Lonchura striata: one gene and its partner. The protein of the gene in region 1 interacts with the protein of each later gene in a biochemical or structural test. Links are inferred from orthologs where the notes say so. Each region holds a gene or a part of one and is shown on either strand. Other genes may lie near its edges. The genes, in order: ANXA1 and protein S100-A11-like.

The links.
Region 2: the proteins of ANXA1 (region 1) and protein S100-A11-like form a complex in vitro, tested with the Homo sapiens proteins (2 studies listed by BioGRID). The link is inferred for Lonchura striata from reciprocal best matches to the Homo sapiens genes ANXA1 and S100A11.

Annotation. Positions count from the first base shown.
Region 1 is NC_134642.1:70,459,873-70,468,988, reverse strand, and holds the start of ANXA1 (annexin A1), read left to right. Parts: upstream 1-5,343; 5' UTR 5,344-5,436; intron 5,437-8,909; 5' UTR 8,910-8,923; coding exon 8,924-8,989; intron 8,990-9,116. UniProt on the Homo sapiens protein: Plays important roles in the innate immune response as effector of glucocorticoid-mediated responses and regulator of the inflammatory process. Has anti-inflammatory activity.
Region 2 is NC_134635.1:3,538,054-3,546,618, forward strand, and holds the start of protein S100-A11-like, read left to right. Parts: upstream 1-5,251; 5' UTR 5,252-5,361; coding exon 5,362-5,364; intron 5,365-7,381; coding exon 7,382-7,519; intron 7,520-8,565. Other genes in the region: TCHH (trichohyalin), read left to right, coding at 1-2,562. UniProt on the Homo sapiens protein: Facilitates the differentiation and the cornification of keratinocytes.

The DNA of each region.
Region 1 (9,116 bases):
ACTGACTAATTGTGAATTAGTTGTCTCCTAATTTTGGCAGGTAAGCTGCTGAGTGAAATAGTAATAGCCAAGCAGTCTCCCAAAACTTCTAAGCACAAACCACCCTCACTGTTATGGGAACAAGATGTTACACGAGTGAATGGAATGCATAGTTTCCTGAGGTTTTTATGACTGTTCTTACCCCACCTTCAATGTACACAATAAGCAAAACATGATTTACTATTATGCACTTATTATGTAATTCTTGTTTCTTCATCGTAGTGGGACCCAAGTCAGGGCGATGCCACTCAGAAAAAAAATATGACCTTGACTGAAGTGATTCGGAAGATTCAGAGCATGGCACTTGCTCCTCATTGTAGACAGGGAATAAAATATGTTTTATTGTTTAACCTCGACATTTTTTGTTAATAGATCCACTCACTGGTATGTATTTCAACAGCAACCAATGGAGCACAGTTTGCTAAGAATGTTTTTATAAATATTTATAATATTAATTTACTTTAAAAGAAAAAATGGTGCAAGAAATGGCAGCAGATGTAAAGTTACTTCAAGGAATCAATTTCAGAATGCCGAATAAACTGGGAAATCCCAGATGGATATATTTAACCTGCATATTGCAGTACCACAGGTGGTTGATCTGCTGATTAATTTTTTGCTAATTAGTATTGTCTCTTCTTTCTTTGAAGTCACAACAACTTAATTGTGCAGCAGGGTTTTGTCTCTTGTAAAGCAGAGGACTGCTCATCCTGCTGCTTGGTTTCCCTAGAAGAGAAAGCCCAGTTCCCTTCCTCCTAAAATCAGTTGTGACATACCACCAACTCTCTGGTTTTGGTTTTTTTGTCGGGGAAGATGTTTGGACATTTTCTCCATTAAGGGCACTGACATTTCCACAGCTTTTATGCACAGTAGAATTGTTTAAATTCACTTATGTTCCCTGGACCTGAATGACTCTTCTGTCATTATTTGCACCCTCAGATTAGCATTGTACACTGCATAGGACTGTAAAAAGCTTATGCATTCCCACTTTTCCTTGTCCCCTTAGCACTTTCCCCTGAATGTTCACTGAGCTTTACCTTCCACTGTAATTTACTATTTCTGTCAGAACTTTATCATCAAACAGGTCTGTTTCACTCTACTGTGATTTGCATGAAGATACGTGTAACAAAGTCTTCCAATGTTTTTTTCCCAGAGGCTTCCTAGAAGGTCTACATTTTCCTCATATAAATTACTTTGGCACACAGTTATAGGGGTTTTTGTCTAGAAGACTATCTGAGATATTGAAAAGCTTCTGGAAGCATTTCTCTGAACTTGAGTTAATTTAAACTGAATAGGATTTCTACTCTCCAAAATGATGTTGCCTTGACATGATTTCTCATGTGGTTACTCTGCTTGTTTCTATGAGAGGATAGGCTATTTTTATTTCTCTGTGTAGGGGGCTGCTCATAAAAATTTTGTGTGTTCTGGATAGCCAAGCCATGTTTAACCATAAGACTCAGAATATCCCATTACACTTCTAAAAATTTAGGAAACTGCAAAGAAGTATTTACTGCAACTAAGAGAGCAGTAAGTATTAAAGTTGGTTATAGAAACAGATGTGTGTTTGATTAAACCATGGAATTCCTGCTGCCTGAGAATTATTGCTAATTTAGTATTTCATGAGGCAATAACAAAATGCAAATCCATGTTAAAAGACAGAGGTGTTAAATATTTTATGCAGTGTAAATAAAATGAATACTTGTTAGAAGATGCCTCAAAAATATTTATGATTTGTTTTGCATCAGTATCAACAAATGCATGTTGCCCAATCTTTTCCCTATTTACAAGCTTGCAAAGAGGTTCAGAACTGAAACATGATTTGAATGGAAAATACAATAGAAATAAACTTTTAACAGATAATCCATAAGAGATATTATGCAGTTTTGAATGTCTTATTGTGTCTAATTAATATTTTTTTGCTTAAGCATGAAACTAAAAAAAGAAATTGCATATCTAGATTTGAATCCATCCAGCCCATAATATAGGATCACAGGGATATACATAATCACAACCTAAATGGGCTCTAGATGGACCTCACTAGAACCATGCAGATCACGTGCAAATTAATAGATAGTGTAGCTGTTCTCATTGAATTTGATATTTAATCTCTTGTGTGTGTCAAAGGAAGAGATGAAGGTCTGAGGTGGCCCTGTATCTCAATATGCAGAAAGATATTTTTCTGAATAATGTAACTGAGACACACTTCCTAAAATAGGATTTGTACAGGAATATGTAGCAAAAACACTGCATGATCTCTGGAATGTCTTCTTGGGAGCATTACTGCCTTCAGTAGGCCTGCTGTAAGTCATACATACTCTTAGATCTGTATCTTTGATATTAATGTCTCTGTTGCCTGTAACCTGTGTAGAGATGCTACGCTGCAGGTCCTGGGTGCCTAAGGAAGCCAAGTAATGTGTTTCTCCTCAGGTTTTTAGGAAGTCTATAAAAGCTAAGGTGCCAAAGATCAGAGAGGCAGATTCCCAGTGGCTCTGGATTGCTATCAGACGGTTCAAAATGGATGGCTGTCATGGCATGAAACAGGCAGAGCTCTGTTTTATGATTTATTGCCTGACCATACTGTCAGTAGCTCCCTCAGGCTAATGCTATTTCATAACAATGTGAGCATCAATTTTCTCTTAAAGTTTATCTCATAGGCAGTCTGAAGGTCATTTGTAAAATGTGGTAGACTCATCATTTCCTAAATTTCTGCAACCTTAACTCTTCTTTAAGGCACCTAGGGTGGAATAAACACAGAGTTACAGCAGGTTGGTAGCAGCCTCAGAAACAGATGTAAGGGCTGCTGCTCTCGCTCTCGAACGCCATGAAAATTCCTGACTCACTTTCCTATCATTTTGTGTAGGATGGATTGCTTAGGGAAATCCCATCTTCCCAAATGAGCTGAGTCATTACTAGCCTTAAGAGAAATATTTGGCGTGGCCAAATCTGGCAGTTTATCAAGTTACCATTTTTCTTTTCTATATTCACTGAACATTTCTGTTTTTCTCTGTTGCATTCCATGCATTGAGTGTTGTAAACAAACATATTTATTTTTGTCACTTTTGAGACATTTGAACCTCTACAACAGTGGCTATATGCTTTGCCTCTTCTGAAAAAATTATGACAACTCAACAATAAACAGTATGCAAACTGTGATAGCTTTATGAAACAAATGACATAGTAAGAGTTAAAAACTTAATAAAAAACAATTGTTAAGAGCTCCATCCAAATGCAAAACTGCATTTTTTTAAGTGGCAGCATTTTGTACAATAAAGCACTCTAGTGCTGATGGTGACTCAGCTGAGGTCCAGGAAGACAGTGAGTCAACCAGCATCTGTCCACCCATTAAGGAGGAAAAGCAAATGCAACAGCTTCTTCAATGACTATTAGTACAAGTTGTACTTTCCTGTGATATCACTCTGAAGGTGGAACCATTGGCCTGAAAGACAATACAATTATATTTTAAAAAGCCCAAAAACCAAAAGTAAAAAATACCATGATAAAAATGGGGTAGGAATATGATTATGAAAAAACTATATTAGAAAAAAGTCAACATGGAGGAGTGTCTTACTATGCACTTCTAGTACACTGATTCCTACCCTTAGCTATGCTCATTAATAGACAGGGGAAACAGCTCCAGAAAAAGAGTAAAAGTAGAGGTTCTGGCCAACACCTAAGCCAACTGAAATAAGACTGCTAGTGTCATTCTGAAATGGAATTTGGGTGGGCTCAAGTAGTCTGTACATCACACATCATAATTAAATAAACAAATCTACATACATCTGATAGCTTGCTCACTGTATCCTTGTCAGCTTCAATTATTCAGTTTACTGGAAACATCTGAAATACTTTTGTCAAATGATAAATGTACAGAGGGAAGGGAAATAGCAAAGCATAGGAGAAAATTGCTCTCAGAGAGTCAGGGGGACTGGGGACTCCCTGGGGGCTAGAAGTGTTCCCATGGGGCTCAGCAGGCAGGACCTGGAAGCCCTCCTATCCCATCACCCCAGCCAGCAGCAAAAGACGTGGAGTTGGCACTGTAGGCAGCCCCAGCTTCAAGCATTTGACACCTCTCTGGGGATGGGAATGTGACAGACCATCAGCACATAGGCTGGGTCCCACTTTCAGTCCCAGCCCTCTGCAAGGCAGCAGGGCAGTAGCTCAAGTGGGGAATGAGGGCTGAGGCTGCCGTATCCTTAGCACTCCTGGAGGCTCTCTCAGGCTTCTGGGATGGGGACCTCCTTGAATGTGATGAGCAGATTACTCTGAGCAGCACATATTTGGGTGTACAGAGAAAGATGTAAGTTATGCAAGAACATGCATGTCTGTTATTTTGCATTTGAGAAATTTGTGAGCATTCCATCTAATAATTACCATCAGTCTGTTCCTCTTCCTCTTCATACAATTAATTGCTAGACATGGGCTTCAAGGAGAGACTGCATTTCATGTGTGTTCATGTGGGGCAGATCAGCCATATTGGAGGTACCTGTGCATTGCAGTCAGTCAGCAGGAGGAGGATGAAAGTCTGCTGGGACCCCATCTGCCCATTGCAAACACTTCTGGTTCAGCAACAGGTATTTCTTCACTGGGCACCATGCTCCAGGCCAATCTGAGGTGTTAGTGATGGCGTTGTGCTGTGCTGGCTTGGCAAGGAAGTGCTTGCAGAAAACCTTCTAGCAGATAGGCCCTCATCTTGTGCAAATCACTCTCGCTTTGAACTTCAGAGTTTAATCTGATTGTTTCAATTTATTTCTAATTATGTAGGTGCCAATTATTGCCCTTGTATTAAGTCTGCTTTTTCTATGAGTTTGTTTCCAAGAAAAAAAAAGTTATTTACATGAAATACATGTTTTATTCCTGAGTTATTTCTGCCATGGACCCACATTCAAAAGCTGCAGAGCTGATAGCCACCGGATCTCAGTGAAGTGAGGATGCTGCCTTGACTCTTCACCCTTTCTTCTCCCTAAGTTTCACTGAGCAAAGATATATCTTAATACAGTCACTTTTGAAATTATATCAAACATAAATATGTGAAGAGAATTACCCATTTTTTTTTCTTAAGATATAATTGTCTGATACCAAAATATTTATGGCAATTTATTAAAACTGAGGGTGTGGTCAGGGCAGGAGTGCTACCATGGCCTGCTCATTTGTTGTCTTTTCCCTTCTGAAAGCTGCTCATACTTTCGCCAGCACATAGTTTCGCAATGACTTTTTTTTTTTTCCTAATGTTTTTAGACTTTGGGTGGCACCCAGATATAGCTGCTGCAGATGATTACTAGGGCTGTGGAAACACTGGTTGCTGGGTGGAGTTTCCTGCACAGGCTACAAAAGCTTTGAGAGCCCTCTGCTCCTTTGCTTCTGACTGTGCAGGCCAGCAAAACGGTGCTAGTGAGGAGAAAGGTAGGATTTTGTAGTTCATTATTGCTCTCTGTAGACCCAGCACTTTAGGAATTGTATGCTGAATTTGTCAAATGACCTGGTGTAAACTTTCTGTGGGTTGGACTTTTATTGTCAGGGAAAAATATGGGTGCAGGTAGGAGAAATTCTTTCTATTCTAGAACATTTTACATAAGGGCTAGGGAAATTACTGCTTTTATTTAATGCAATGAAATAAAATACGGTTAAAACTTCAAAAGCAAACTTACTTGTAGTAGACCATTTCATTTGCTTTATCTTTGCCTTTTTAGTAGGCTGCTGTAGAAATCTGTAGTAAAACCGGAGTTCCTAGAAAACAATGCTGTGTATGTAAACTTAAAAAATAGCAGCAGCTGTTGTTAGTTCAACAACAGTTTGCTGCACTATGACTGTAGAGCAATCATTGTTCATGAAAGTGATGAGAATCAAATATCTTAGAAATCAAATTAGAAATCAAATGTAGAAATCATCCCATGTTTTAGAAACGTAAGACAAAATCTTGCTTTTCTGACTAAGAACTTGGCAAAGCCATGTAAAAGCTGTGTCATCTGGGGTTCTTGCTGCTTTCCTTTTCCAGACTTTTACAAGGATGAGATTGTTTTTTTCTTTGATGTTTCCAAATTCAGAGACTTTCTACTGCAAAGTAAATTACTGTATTAGATCTCCTGCCTGTTTTTCTGACTGACATGACTGTAATTTACATCAAGATCCTGGTATTCAGCGTTTGAAAGTAGCCAGGCATTTGACATGCTTCATGATATGGTTAAATAAGCATAGATAAATGCTGTCATTTGACACAGATTATAGAGTAAAAATCTAGTTGTGTCTTTAAATATTTTTAATAAAGTATTTTCTCAAAATCCTAAACATTTTTGATTGGTCCTTTTCAAGGGTGCATCTTCAAGGGATTAAGAGCCAGACAGAAAGCAAAATTGTGGTGATTTTTGTGAAACAACCGTTAGGGCTTTCAGTCTGGATGTATGTCTGATTTTTCAATCCTGTTGTGATGTTGATCATTCCAACAGGGAATCAGTTGCTTCAGTCCTTTTCATAATATATTGAAGTGCTATTTGGACTGAATGTATCCCTCCTGGATTTAGGTATTGTTAACAAGATCTCTTTACATTTTATAGTGGCAGGACAAAGTATTGGCAAGATCTTGTCTCCATCAGGGGGCTGGCTTTCTAGATGCCAGCCTTCTTTTTACTTATCAGCTGTAGTTTCTTCCAAAGCAGAAGACTTTTATATTAAGTTGGTTTCTTACCTTACAAAGCTAATTCAAGAAGACTAAGGTCTTCAGCTCCCTCCAAGGGCTGTTGACTACTTTGACTTATATTAAAATTGCATTTTTTCTTTACTAGATGGAAATAGATGGATCTGCATGCCAGCGTCTCTATTTCAAAAGAAAAGGAAAAAAAAAAAAAAAAAAGAACTTTAAAAAGTTTTTAAGGCACAGACTTTTTTTCTTACTGTATCATTTAAGCCAGAAAAGACATGAAGCTTTAGAGGCTTAATAAAACCAGTTTAGTATAGTCTAGTAGCCTTCTGCTCTAGCCAACCCCAAAAGCATGGGAACCTTTAGATCTTGGTGTCATGGGTGCATGTAGCAATATGTAGAAGAAAGGGATGTGCTTCCTGAAGGTAGCTCTCCCTGAAGAATATTACTTTATCAGGCAAAACACATGTCTTCTCAGATCTGGTGCTGGGAGATTGAATCTTTTTTCATAGTTTGAAGTGGTTCTCTGCTCTGTGAATCAGTTAGTCAGCAGACATACCAGGACATGCCAGCACTGATGACTCAGTGTTCCCAGTATGGAGACTTTCAAGTGTTTCCGTCCCGCTGCATATGGCCTTCATGTGTGCTGTTACAAAATGCAGCAGAATTTTGGGTACCATACTGCTTCATCTGCCACTGTTAACTTCGGTCAGTAGAAGGATGCAGAAGTCACTCTGACAGCCTGAGCAAAGTGCAGGTTGCAGTTGTGCTGTGAGCATGCTTTTCTGATCCTGAATAAATAGCAGGTCATAAAAGTAGATCTTTAAATCTGACTGAATATTCTGTTCATTACTTGCCCATTTGAGACTTACTGTAAATAACATATTAATCCCGATTTTAAATCAGTTTCAGCTTTTCTGGCAGCACTAAATTCCTTCCTGAGGGAAGGAAACAAAAGCAAGAGATTTTTGAGGAAGAGGGAATATGGCTAGCTCTTACCTTGGAGAGAGCTGCTGGCAGCCTGTGTGAGGTATTTATTTGTCACTTTTTTGACTGCTGAGTGCAGAAGGAAGCTTTACAGTTTAGCTGTGAGGGGAAGAAAGAGCTGGGCTGCAGCTACACTCCTTGGTTCACAACTTCAAAGTCAAAAGGCTGGTCTCTACCCTTCCTATAGGACAGAGGGGATGTGTTAGCAGCATAACTAACATGATTTTTTAAAATTGTGTATATGATCTGTACTCCAAGACTGCAAAAAGAATTTTGTCTCTTAACACCAGTTTCAAAATCAGTCTTGTTTACTCAGTAGCACTATCTCTAGTTATTGCTTACACATCTGCTTTAAAACCAAGTCCTCCCTAGACCTTGCTGAGGAGGAGTGTTAAAAAAATAAGTTTGAATAACTTGAATAAAAAAATCTAGTTTGAATAATTTTATTTGATAAACTATTTATTTCTTCTTTCTATTTCCTCACTATTTCAGTTAACAAACAGAATATTCCCCACACCAACAACAGAAGTTGTTATGAAGCAACCTGTTAATTATTTTTGAGTACTTAATGTTACATCACTTCTCATTTTTTCCTTTTCTGCATAATGACTTTTGGGAAAGATGGGTGGACTTTCTTTCTTAGTGGTAAAAAGCAAAACTTGTTTTTATTTCCTCTTCTTAAATTGGTAATGTTTTATTATTATTATGCAGAAATTGTAGAAAAAGCAATGTATACAAAACTATCCAGATTTACTCATCTTCCTTAGAAAATGTCTAGTCAAAGAAATTACACGAAAGTATATTAACAAGGGAATTTCTTTTTTCCTAACATAATACACAAGATCTCCACTGTCAGTAAATGATGAGACAAGAACCCTTGTTTACAAGGGAACTTCAAAATGATCAAACTAAATGGGCATAGATGATAGATTAGCTAATTGGTTTCTAGTAACTTGCCTTTGTAAGTAAATGCTAATGTATTGCTGTAAGAACATACATAGTACTACTGCTGTTCTTATCTAAAACTTCTGAAAGTAGCTAAGAGTGTAGGGGTGAGCAAGCAGCCGTGAAGCATCACATCACTCATAAAACATCAAAGTTGCTTGCCTCCAATAGTACAGGCCAGTTACCATGGGGACATTAACCACAACATGTCATCGTGCTAGATAAGTGATTTTGAAGGTAGAAAATCTAAAGTTGCACTGCTGCTCAAAATGATGGAAAATTGTTTGTAACTTGATACATCTCTTCCCAGAAACTCGTGTCACCATGGCTATGGTATCAGAATTCCTGAAGCAGGCATGGTTCATTGAAAACCAGGAAAATGAATGTATTGTAAGTATCATCAACTTTTGAGAGAACCATGCTTATTTTCTTGTGGTTTAAAGTGGTGTAAAGACATCTAAACATCTTTCATACATGCAAATGGAGGGAGAACAGTGGCAAAACTATCAGATTAGAA
Region 2 (8,565 bases), on another chromosome or scaffold:
CACCGGACACGGGAAAGGGAGGAAGAAGTGGCCGCCATTAACCTGAGAGAGACACGGGAGAGACGAGAGCGAGAAATTCGTGACCTTGATGATGGAAGAAGACAGAGAGAATCAGTGAGGTACGAGAGGGAGAGAGAGATCTCAGTTGCAGCAGCAGAAGCCGATGTCAGAGTGCGCCGTGAGATCCGGGAACGAGGTGAGGAGCTGAGAAGAAGAGAACGTCCCCGTGAGTGTGAAGAGGAAGAGAGGAGAATTTCCCAGGTCAGAGACAGGGAAGAGCCCCTGAGGAAAGGGAGACTCGACCGTGAACGGGATCTGGAGGTGTCTGAGAGCCGGACACGGGAAAGGGAGGAAGAAGTGGCCACAGTCAGCCTGAGAGAGACACGGGAGAGACGAGAGCGAGAAATTCGTGAGCTTGATGATGGAAGGAGAAGACAAGAAGTGTATGACAGGAGAAGAGAGATCTCAGTGGCAGCAGCAGAAGCCGATGTCAGAGTGCGCCGCGAGATCCGGGAACGAGGTGAGGAGCTGAGAAGGAGAGAACGTCCCTGTGAGGGTGAGGAGGAAGAGAGGAGAATTTCCCAGGTCAGAGACAGGGAAGAGCCCCTGAGGAAAGGGAGAATCGACCGTGAACAGGAGCTGGATGTGTCTGAGCGTCGGACACGGGAAAGGGAGGAAGAAGTGGCCACCATTAATCTGAGAGAGACACGGGAGAGACGAGAGCGAGAAATTCGTGACCTTGATGATGATGGAAGGAGAAGACAAGAAGTGTATGACAGGAGAAGAGAGATCTCAGTGGCAGCAGCAGAAGCCGATGTCAGAGTGCAACGTGAGATCCAGGAACGAGGTGAGGAGCTGAGAAGGAGAGAACGTCCCCGTGAGTGTGAAGAGAGGAGAATCTGCCCCAGAAGAGACAGGGAAGAGCCCCTGAGGAAAGGGAGAATCGACCGTGAACGGGATCTGGAGGTGTCTGAGAGCCGGACACGGGAAAGGGAGGAAGAAGTGGCCACAGTTGGCCTGAGAGAGACACGGGAGAGACGAGAGCGAGAAATTCGTGAGCTTGATGATGGAAGAAGACAAGAAGTGTATGACCGGAGAAGAGAGATCTCAGTGGCAGCAGCAGAAGCCGATGTCAGAGTGCGCCGTGAGATCCGGGAACGAGGTGAGGAGCTGAGAAGGAGAGAACGTCCCCGTGAGGGTGAGGAGAGGAGAATCTGCCCCAGAAGAGACAGGGAAGAGCCCCTGAGGAAAGGGAGAACCGACCATGAACAGGATCTGGAGGTGTCTGAGAGCCGGACACGGGAAAGGGAGGAAGAAGTGGCCGCCATTAACCTGAGAGAGACACGGGAGAGACGAGAGCGAGAAATTCGTGAGCTTGATGATGATGGAAGGAGAAGACAAGAAGTGTATGACAGGAGAAGAGAGATCTCAGTGGCAGCAGCAGAAGCCGACGTCAGAGTGCGCCGCGAGATCCGGGAACGAGGTGAGGAGCTGAGAAGGAGAGAACGTCCCTGTGAGGGTGAGGAGGAAGCAGAGCCAGGGAGGAGAATCTCCCGGGTCAGAGAGAGGGAAGAGGCCCTGAGGGAGAGGAGAATCGACCGGGAGCGGGAGCTGGAGCTGGAGCTGGAGCTGGAGGCCTCTGAGTGCCGCAGCCGCCAGCCACGGGCCAGGGCGGCCGAAGTGACCATCACTGACCAGAGGGAGGCACGTGAGGAGATCCGGCTGGACGTGCTGGAGGAAGAAGAGGAGGAGGAGCTGGAGCAGGGCCGGTGCCGCTACCAGACCCTGGACGTGGATTTGGGTGATCCCTGCCCCCTGGGGCAGGAGGTGCCCGTCAGTGACCTCAGGGTCCGCTACCTCCCCGCTGAGCCCGAGCTCCGGCCCGATGTCCGGCCGCTCCCCGAGCCCGTGGAGCCTCAGACCGTCGCCTACCTGGTGCACGTGATCCAGAACCTGGAGGACCCCAAGGCCACCACCTACGAGATCGTGTGCCACCAGCCCGGCCAGCGGGGCCGGCCCGTGCGCATCCGGACCTGCTCCGTGTCCCCGCGGCCACCCACTGACCGCAGGGGCCACCCCGAGGCGCTGCCACCCGAATGCCAGGACAACCCCGAGGCTCCGGATGAGCCCCGGGAAAAATCCGGGAATGAGGTGAAGGACGGAGCCCTCCGGGATTCCGCCGAGCCGGAGGCTGGGAAAGGCGAGCGGGTGAAATCCAAGGAGACCCGGAGGCGCCCCGAGATCCCCGAGGTGGAGCAGGGCCAGCCCCAGGGTGAGGGACCCCAGAAGGTCCCGCGGGAGCCCGGAGCCGGCTGCCAGCGGAGAGAGCGCCAGGACAGCGAGGCCAAGAGCTGCGTCCCCCCGGAACGTCGGGATGCGGAGCGGAGAGACCCCGGGGAGACGCGCAGAGAGGGAGGCCAGGAGGGTGAGGAGGCTCCTGAGGAGGAGCCCAGCAAGAGGAGCCCCCGGGAATCCGGCAGCTCCCAGGTTCCTCGGGAAGGTGGCACCAAGCAGGGCCAGGAGGCCCCGAGCCGCCCCAGGGATGAATCCAAGACATCCTGAGGAGAATCTGCCTCTCCCTGGAGCCTCTCCGGTCCTTTTGAGGGTCACTTCTGCGCCCATTGCCAGCTGGGGATGCGGTGGCCCGGCAGGGATGGACTCAAAAGGATCCCGGGGTGTCCAGTGGGGTCTGGGGGCTTTTCCCTGGAATGAATCCTCAGCAGGAAGCAAGATCCCCGCAGATCCGGAGATTCTGCCTCCCTGTTGAGTGTGTCCCTCGATATTTAATCACTTTTTCTGCTCTGATTGGAGTCCTTGGGTGCCTCTGTCCTCTTTTGCACCCTGGGGTGTCACTTCAGGTCTCCCCGGCCCCAGGGCTGGGGCTGCTCTCGGCTTCTGCCGTGAAACTCAAAGAAAATTCCTGATTTTGGGGTCTAGAAATCCTCGAGGCTGGGGAAAAAAATCACCTTTTTAGCCTCGATTCCAGCAGAATTCCAGCTCCAGGCCCGGGGGTTTGGGGTTCACAGGGTGCTGGTGGTGGGTGGGGGATTCTCCTTCTTCTCCTTTTCCTTTTCCTTCCTTTTTGTCGCATGGAAAATGGGAATAAACAACTGATTCCTGCAGAAGCTCTGAGCATCACCTTCCGGAGGGCTGGGAGGGCTGGGAGGGGGGCCCAGCTCGGATCAGGCAATCCCAGTTGGGATCAGACATTCCCAGTTGGGATCAGACGTTCCCAGTTGAGATCAGGAATTCCCAGTTGAGATCAGGCATTCCCAGTTGAGATCAGGAATTCCCAGTTGGGATCAGACGTTCCCAGTTGGGATCAGACATTCCCAGTTGGGATCAGACATTCCCAGTTGGGATCAGGAATTCCCAGTTGGGATCAGACATTCCCAGTTGGGATCAGGCATTCCCGGTTGGGATCAGACATTCCCAGTTGGGATCAGGAATTCCCAGTTGGTATCAGGCGTTCCCAGTTAGGATCAGACATTCCCAGTTGGGATCAGACATTCCCAGTTGGGATCAAGCATTCCCAGTTCAGCCCCCAAACTCCTCCTAATCCCAAATCCTGATCCCAATCCAAACCCAATCCCACTCCCAAATCCCGCTCCAGGCCGGAGCCAGGGGCTCTCCCAGGGCTCTGTCCCCATGTTGTCCCCAAGTGATGGGGACGGGGACAGGGACAGGGACAGAGGGACAGGGACAGGGACAGGGGGACAGGGACAGAGGGACAGGGACAGGGACAGGGACAGGGGGATAGGGACACAGGGACAGGGACAGGGACAAGGACAGGGACAGAGGGACAGGGACAGAGGGACAGGGACAGAGGGACAGGGACAGGGACAGGGACAGACGGACAGGGACGGGGACAGGGACAGGGATGGGGACAGAGGGACAGGGACAGGGACAGAGGGACAGGGACAGGGGGACAGGGACAGATGGACAGGGACGGGGACAGGGACAGTGGGGATGGGGGCAGAGGGACAGGGACAGGGACAGAGGGACAGGGACAGGGACAGGGACAGAGGGACAGGGGCAGGGACACAGGGACAGGGACAGGGACAGGGACAGAGGGACAGGGGCAGGGACAGGGACAGAGGGACAGGGGCAGGGACACAGGGACAGGGACAGGGACAGGGACAGGGACAGAGGGACAGGGGCAGGGACAGAGGGACAGGGACAGGGGGACAGGGAGACAGGGACAGGAGAGGGACAGGGACAGAAAGAGGAACAGGAACAGACACGGCTCGGTGACGGTGACAGGCATGGGGCCAGGGACAGGAACAGGAACTGGGACAGTGCCAATGCCAGTGCCAGTGCCAGGGGCAGGGCCAGTGGCACAGCTCGGTGACAATGCCAACGGCAGGAACAGTGACTCTGGCAGGGACAGAACAGTGACACTGGCACAGCTCGGTGACAATGCCAGGGACGGGAACAGTGACACTGGCAGGGCTCGGTGGCAGTGCCAGGGCCAGTGGCACAGCTCGGTGACAATGCCAGGGACAGGAACAGGAACAGTGACACTGGCAGGGACAGAACAGTGACACTGGCAGAGCTCAGTGACAATGCCAGGGACAGGAACAGGAACAGTGACACTGGCAGGGACAGAACAGTGACACTGGCACAGCTCGGTGACAATGCCAGGGACGGGAACAGTGACACTGGCAGGGACAGAACAGTGACACTGGCACAGCTCGGTGACAATGCCAGGGACAGGACAGTGACACTGGCACAGCTCGGTGGCAGTGCCAGGGACAGTGACACAGGAAAAGGGAAATTCCCTTTGGGAAAGGTGGCTTGGGGGAAAATCCCAATATTCAGGAAAAATGGGAGTTTGGGGGCAGGAAACTGAGGGGAAAAGGAAAAATCTCCCAAGTCCCAGAGGAATTCCCGGGATCCCAACACTCATCCTGCTCCCCGGTGTTTAACCCCTCTCTGTTCCAGACAGCCCCAGAGATTTTTGGGATTTTCCCCTTTTTCCTGCTCCAGGCTCCCCCTGAATATTTTGGGATTTCCCCTTCTCCTGCTCCAGGCTCTCCGGGAAGATTTTTGAGGAAATTTCCCCCCTTTTTTTCCCCAACCTCCCCGTTAAGATTTTTGGGATTTTTCCCCCGCTCCCCTGGCCGAGGACGACCCCAGGGATATCCCGGGACGGAGCAGGATTTGGGAATGCCCGCACAGCCCCGGAGCCGGGCCGGGCACATTCCGGAGGCTCGGGAGGAGCCGCGGTTGCCGCTGGAAACGGGAATTGCTCAACGCGGCCGGCGCTGACTCAGCCCGGGCGGGGCTCCCGAACTTTCCCCGAGCTTTTTTCCCGATCCTACAATTCCAGAGCGGAGCGGAGCCGCCGCTGTCCCAGCCATGGTGAGGAATTCCCGGGAATTTGCGGGGGGAAACGGACCCGGAGCGGGGAAAAGGAGGTTTTCCCGCAAAATGCCTCAAAATCGGAGCGGGACGGAGGCGGGGATGGTCCCAAGGGGTGGAATTTCCAGGGAAAAGGGAAAAGGGTCCGGCAGGTGTGGGAGAGGTGATTCCAGAGGGGGAAGGGGAGGGGAAAGGAGATTTTCGCACAAAACGACCCAAAATTGGAGCGGGGAGGGGTTAGGGCGTGGTCCCAAGGGGAAAACGGCGGGGAAGAAACGGAAAAACGGAAAAAAACCGGGGGAAAACAGTGAAAAAACGGGGGAAACGGGGAAAAAACCGGGGGGAAACGAGGGGGAAATGGGGGCGGGAACGGGGGGAAAACCGGGGCAGAAATCGGGTGGAAAATGGGAAAAAGCAGAGAAAACCAGGAAAAAACAGGGGGAAAAAACAGAGAAAAAGGGGGAAATGGATGAAAACCAGGGAAAAACCGGGGGAAAAAACAGAGAAAACGGGAAAATGGATGAAAACCAGGGAAAAACCGGGGTGGGTTGGGGAGAAATGGGGGGAAACTGGGGAAGAACGGGATTATCTCCCAAAAACGCGCCTCAGCCGGAGGCCGGATCCGGCCCGGCCCTTCCCACCCCGCGGGATCCGCCGCCTCCCCGGGGATTTTCCAGGAGCCGCTCCCGCTCCGCTTCCCGCTGTGCCAAGGAGCGAAATCCAGGGAAAAATGCGGCCGAACGGGTCTGGCTGAGCCCTTCCCACATCCCCAAAAAACCGGGATCCTCCTCCAGCCTTTCCCACATCCCCAAAAAACCGGGATCCTCCTCCAGCCCTTCCCACATCCCCAAAAAACCGGGATCCTCCTCCAGCCCTTCCCTCATCCCCAAAAAAACCGGGATCCTCCTCCAGCCCTTCCCACATCCCCAAAAAACCGGGATCCTCCTCCAGCCCTTCCCTCATCCCCAAAAAACCGGGATCCTCCTCCAGCCCTTCCCTCATCCCCAAAAAACCGGGATCCTCCTCCAGCCCTTCCCTCATCCCCAAAAAACCGGGATCCTCCTCCAGCCCTTCCCACATCCCCAAAAAACCGGGATTGCTCCTGGAACACCTGGAAGGGGCAGGGAGCCTTTCCCTGCTCCCAAAAAACCCCAGGATTTCTCCCTGGAACACCCGAAATGGGCACAGGAGGTGTTTCCCTGCTCCCCGGAAATTCGGGATTGCTCCTTGGCACACCTGGAGTGGGAAGGGAGGATCCTCTAGCCGTTCCCCCATCCAAAAAAAAAACGGGATTAGGGGGCCTTTCCCTGCTCCCAAAAGACCTGGAATCGCTCCTGGAATGGGCAGAGGAGGCTCCTCCAGCCCTTCCCTCATCCCAAAAACACCGGGATTGCTCCTGGAATGGGCACAGGGGTCCCACCCTCCCTCATCCCCAAATCCCGGGATTACCCTGGCACACCTGGGATGGGCACAGGGATCCCTGCACCCCCAAATCCCGGGATTGCCCTGGCACAGCTGGGATGGGCACAGGGATCCCTGCACCCCCAAATCCCGGGATTGCCCTGGCACAGTGGGATGGGCACAGGGATCCCTGCACCCCCAAATCCCGGGATTGCCCTGGCACAGCTGGGATGGGCACAGGGATCCCTGCACCCCCAAATCCCGGGATTGCCCTGGCACAGTGGGATGGGCACAGGATTCCCTGCACCCCCAAATCCCGGGATTGCCCTGGCACAGTGGGATGGGCACAGGGATCCCTGCACCCCCAAATCCCGGGATTGCCCTGGCACAGTGGGATGGGCACAGGGATCCCTGCACCCCCAAATCCCGGGATTGCCCTGGCACAGTGGGATGGGCACAGGGATCCCTGCACCCCCAAATCCCGGGATTGCCCTGGCACAGCCGGGATGGGCACAGGATTCCCTGCACCCCCAAATCCCGGGATTGCCCTGGCACAGTGGGATGGGCACAGGATTCCCTGCCCTCCCTCACCCCGAATCCCGGGATTTGCCCGCAGCCCACGGAGACGGAGCGCTGCATCGAGTCGCTGCTGGCCGTGTTCCAGCGCTACGCCGGCCGCGAGGGCAGCTCCGTCACCCTCTCCAAGCGGGAATTCCGCGCCTTCATGGACACCGAGCTGGCCGCCTTCACCAAGGTCCGGGAACGCGGGCTGGGATCCTCGGGATCCACGGGATGGGGCGGGATCAGTGGGATCAGTGGGATCCGTGAGATTGGAATGGGATCCATGGGGTGGGATGGGATCCATGGGGTGGGGTGGGATCAGTGGGATTGGGATGGGATCCATGGGATTTGGATGGGATCCATGGGATTGGGATGGGATCCATGGGATGGAGTGGGATCAGTGGGATCCATGGGATCTGTGGGATTGGGATGGGATGCATGGGATTAGGATGGGATCCATGGGATTGGGATGGGATCCATGGGATGGGGTGGGATCAGCGGGATCCATGGGATCTGTCGATTGGGATGGGATGCATGGGATTTGGATGGGATCCATGGGATTGGGATGGGATCCATAGGATGGGGTGGGATCAGTGGGATCCATGGGATTTGGATGGGATCCATGGGATTGGGATGGGATCCATGGGATGGGGCGGGATCAGTGGGATCCATGGGATCTGTGGGATTGGGATGGGATGCATGGGATTAGGATGGGATCCATGGGATTGGGATGGGATCCATGGGATGGGGTGGGATCAGTGGGATCCATGGGATCTGTCGATTGGGATGGGATGCATGGGATTAGGATGGGATCAATGGAATTGGAATGGGGATAGCATCAATGGGATCCATGGTATTGGGATGGGATCAGTGGGTTTGGGACGGGATCAATGGAACTGGAATGGGATCAATGGGATCCATGGGATTGGGATGGGATCAGTGGGTTTGGGACAGGATCAATGGGATGAAGGGGATGGGGTGGGATGAATGGAATCCGTGGATTGGGGGGGGGGGTGGGATTGGATCAAGGGGATCCATGGGATCAATGGAATGGGATGGGATTGGATCAAGGGGATCCATGGGATCAATGGAATGGGATGGGAACGATGGGATGGGATCAATGGGATGAGATGATCCGGGGGCTCCCGGCCCTGGGGATGTGCCGGGATGGGATCTGGAGCGGGTTGAGGGATTGTGGGAACACCACTGACCGCGGCTGTTCAGGGATTTTCCATCCCC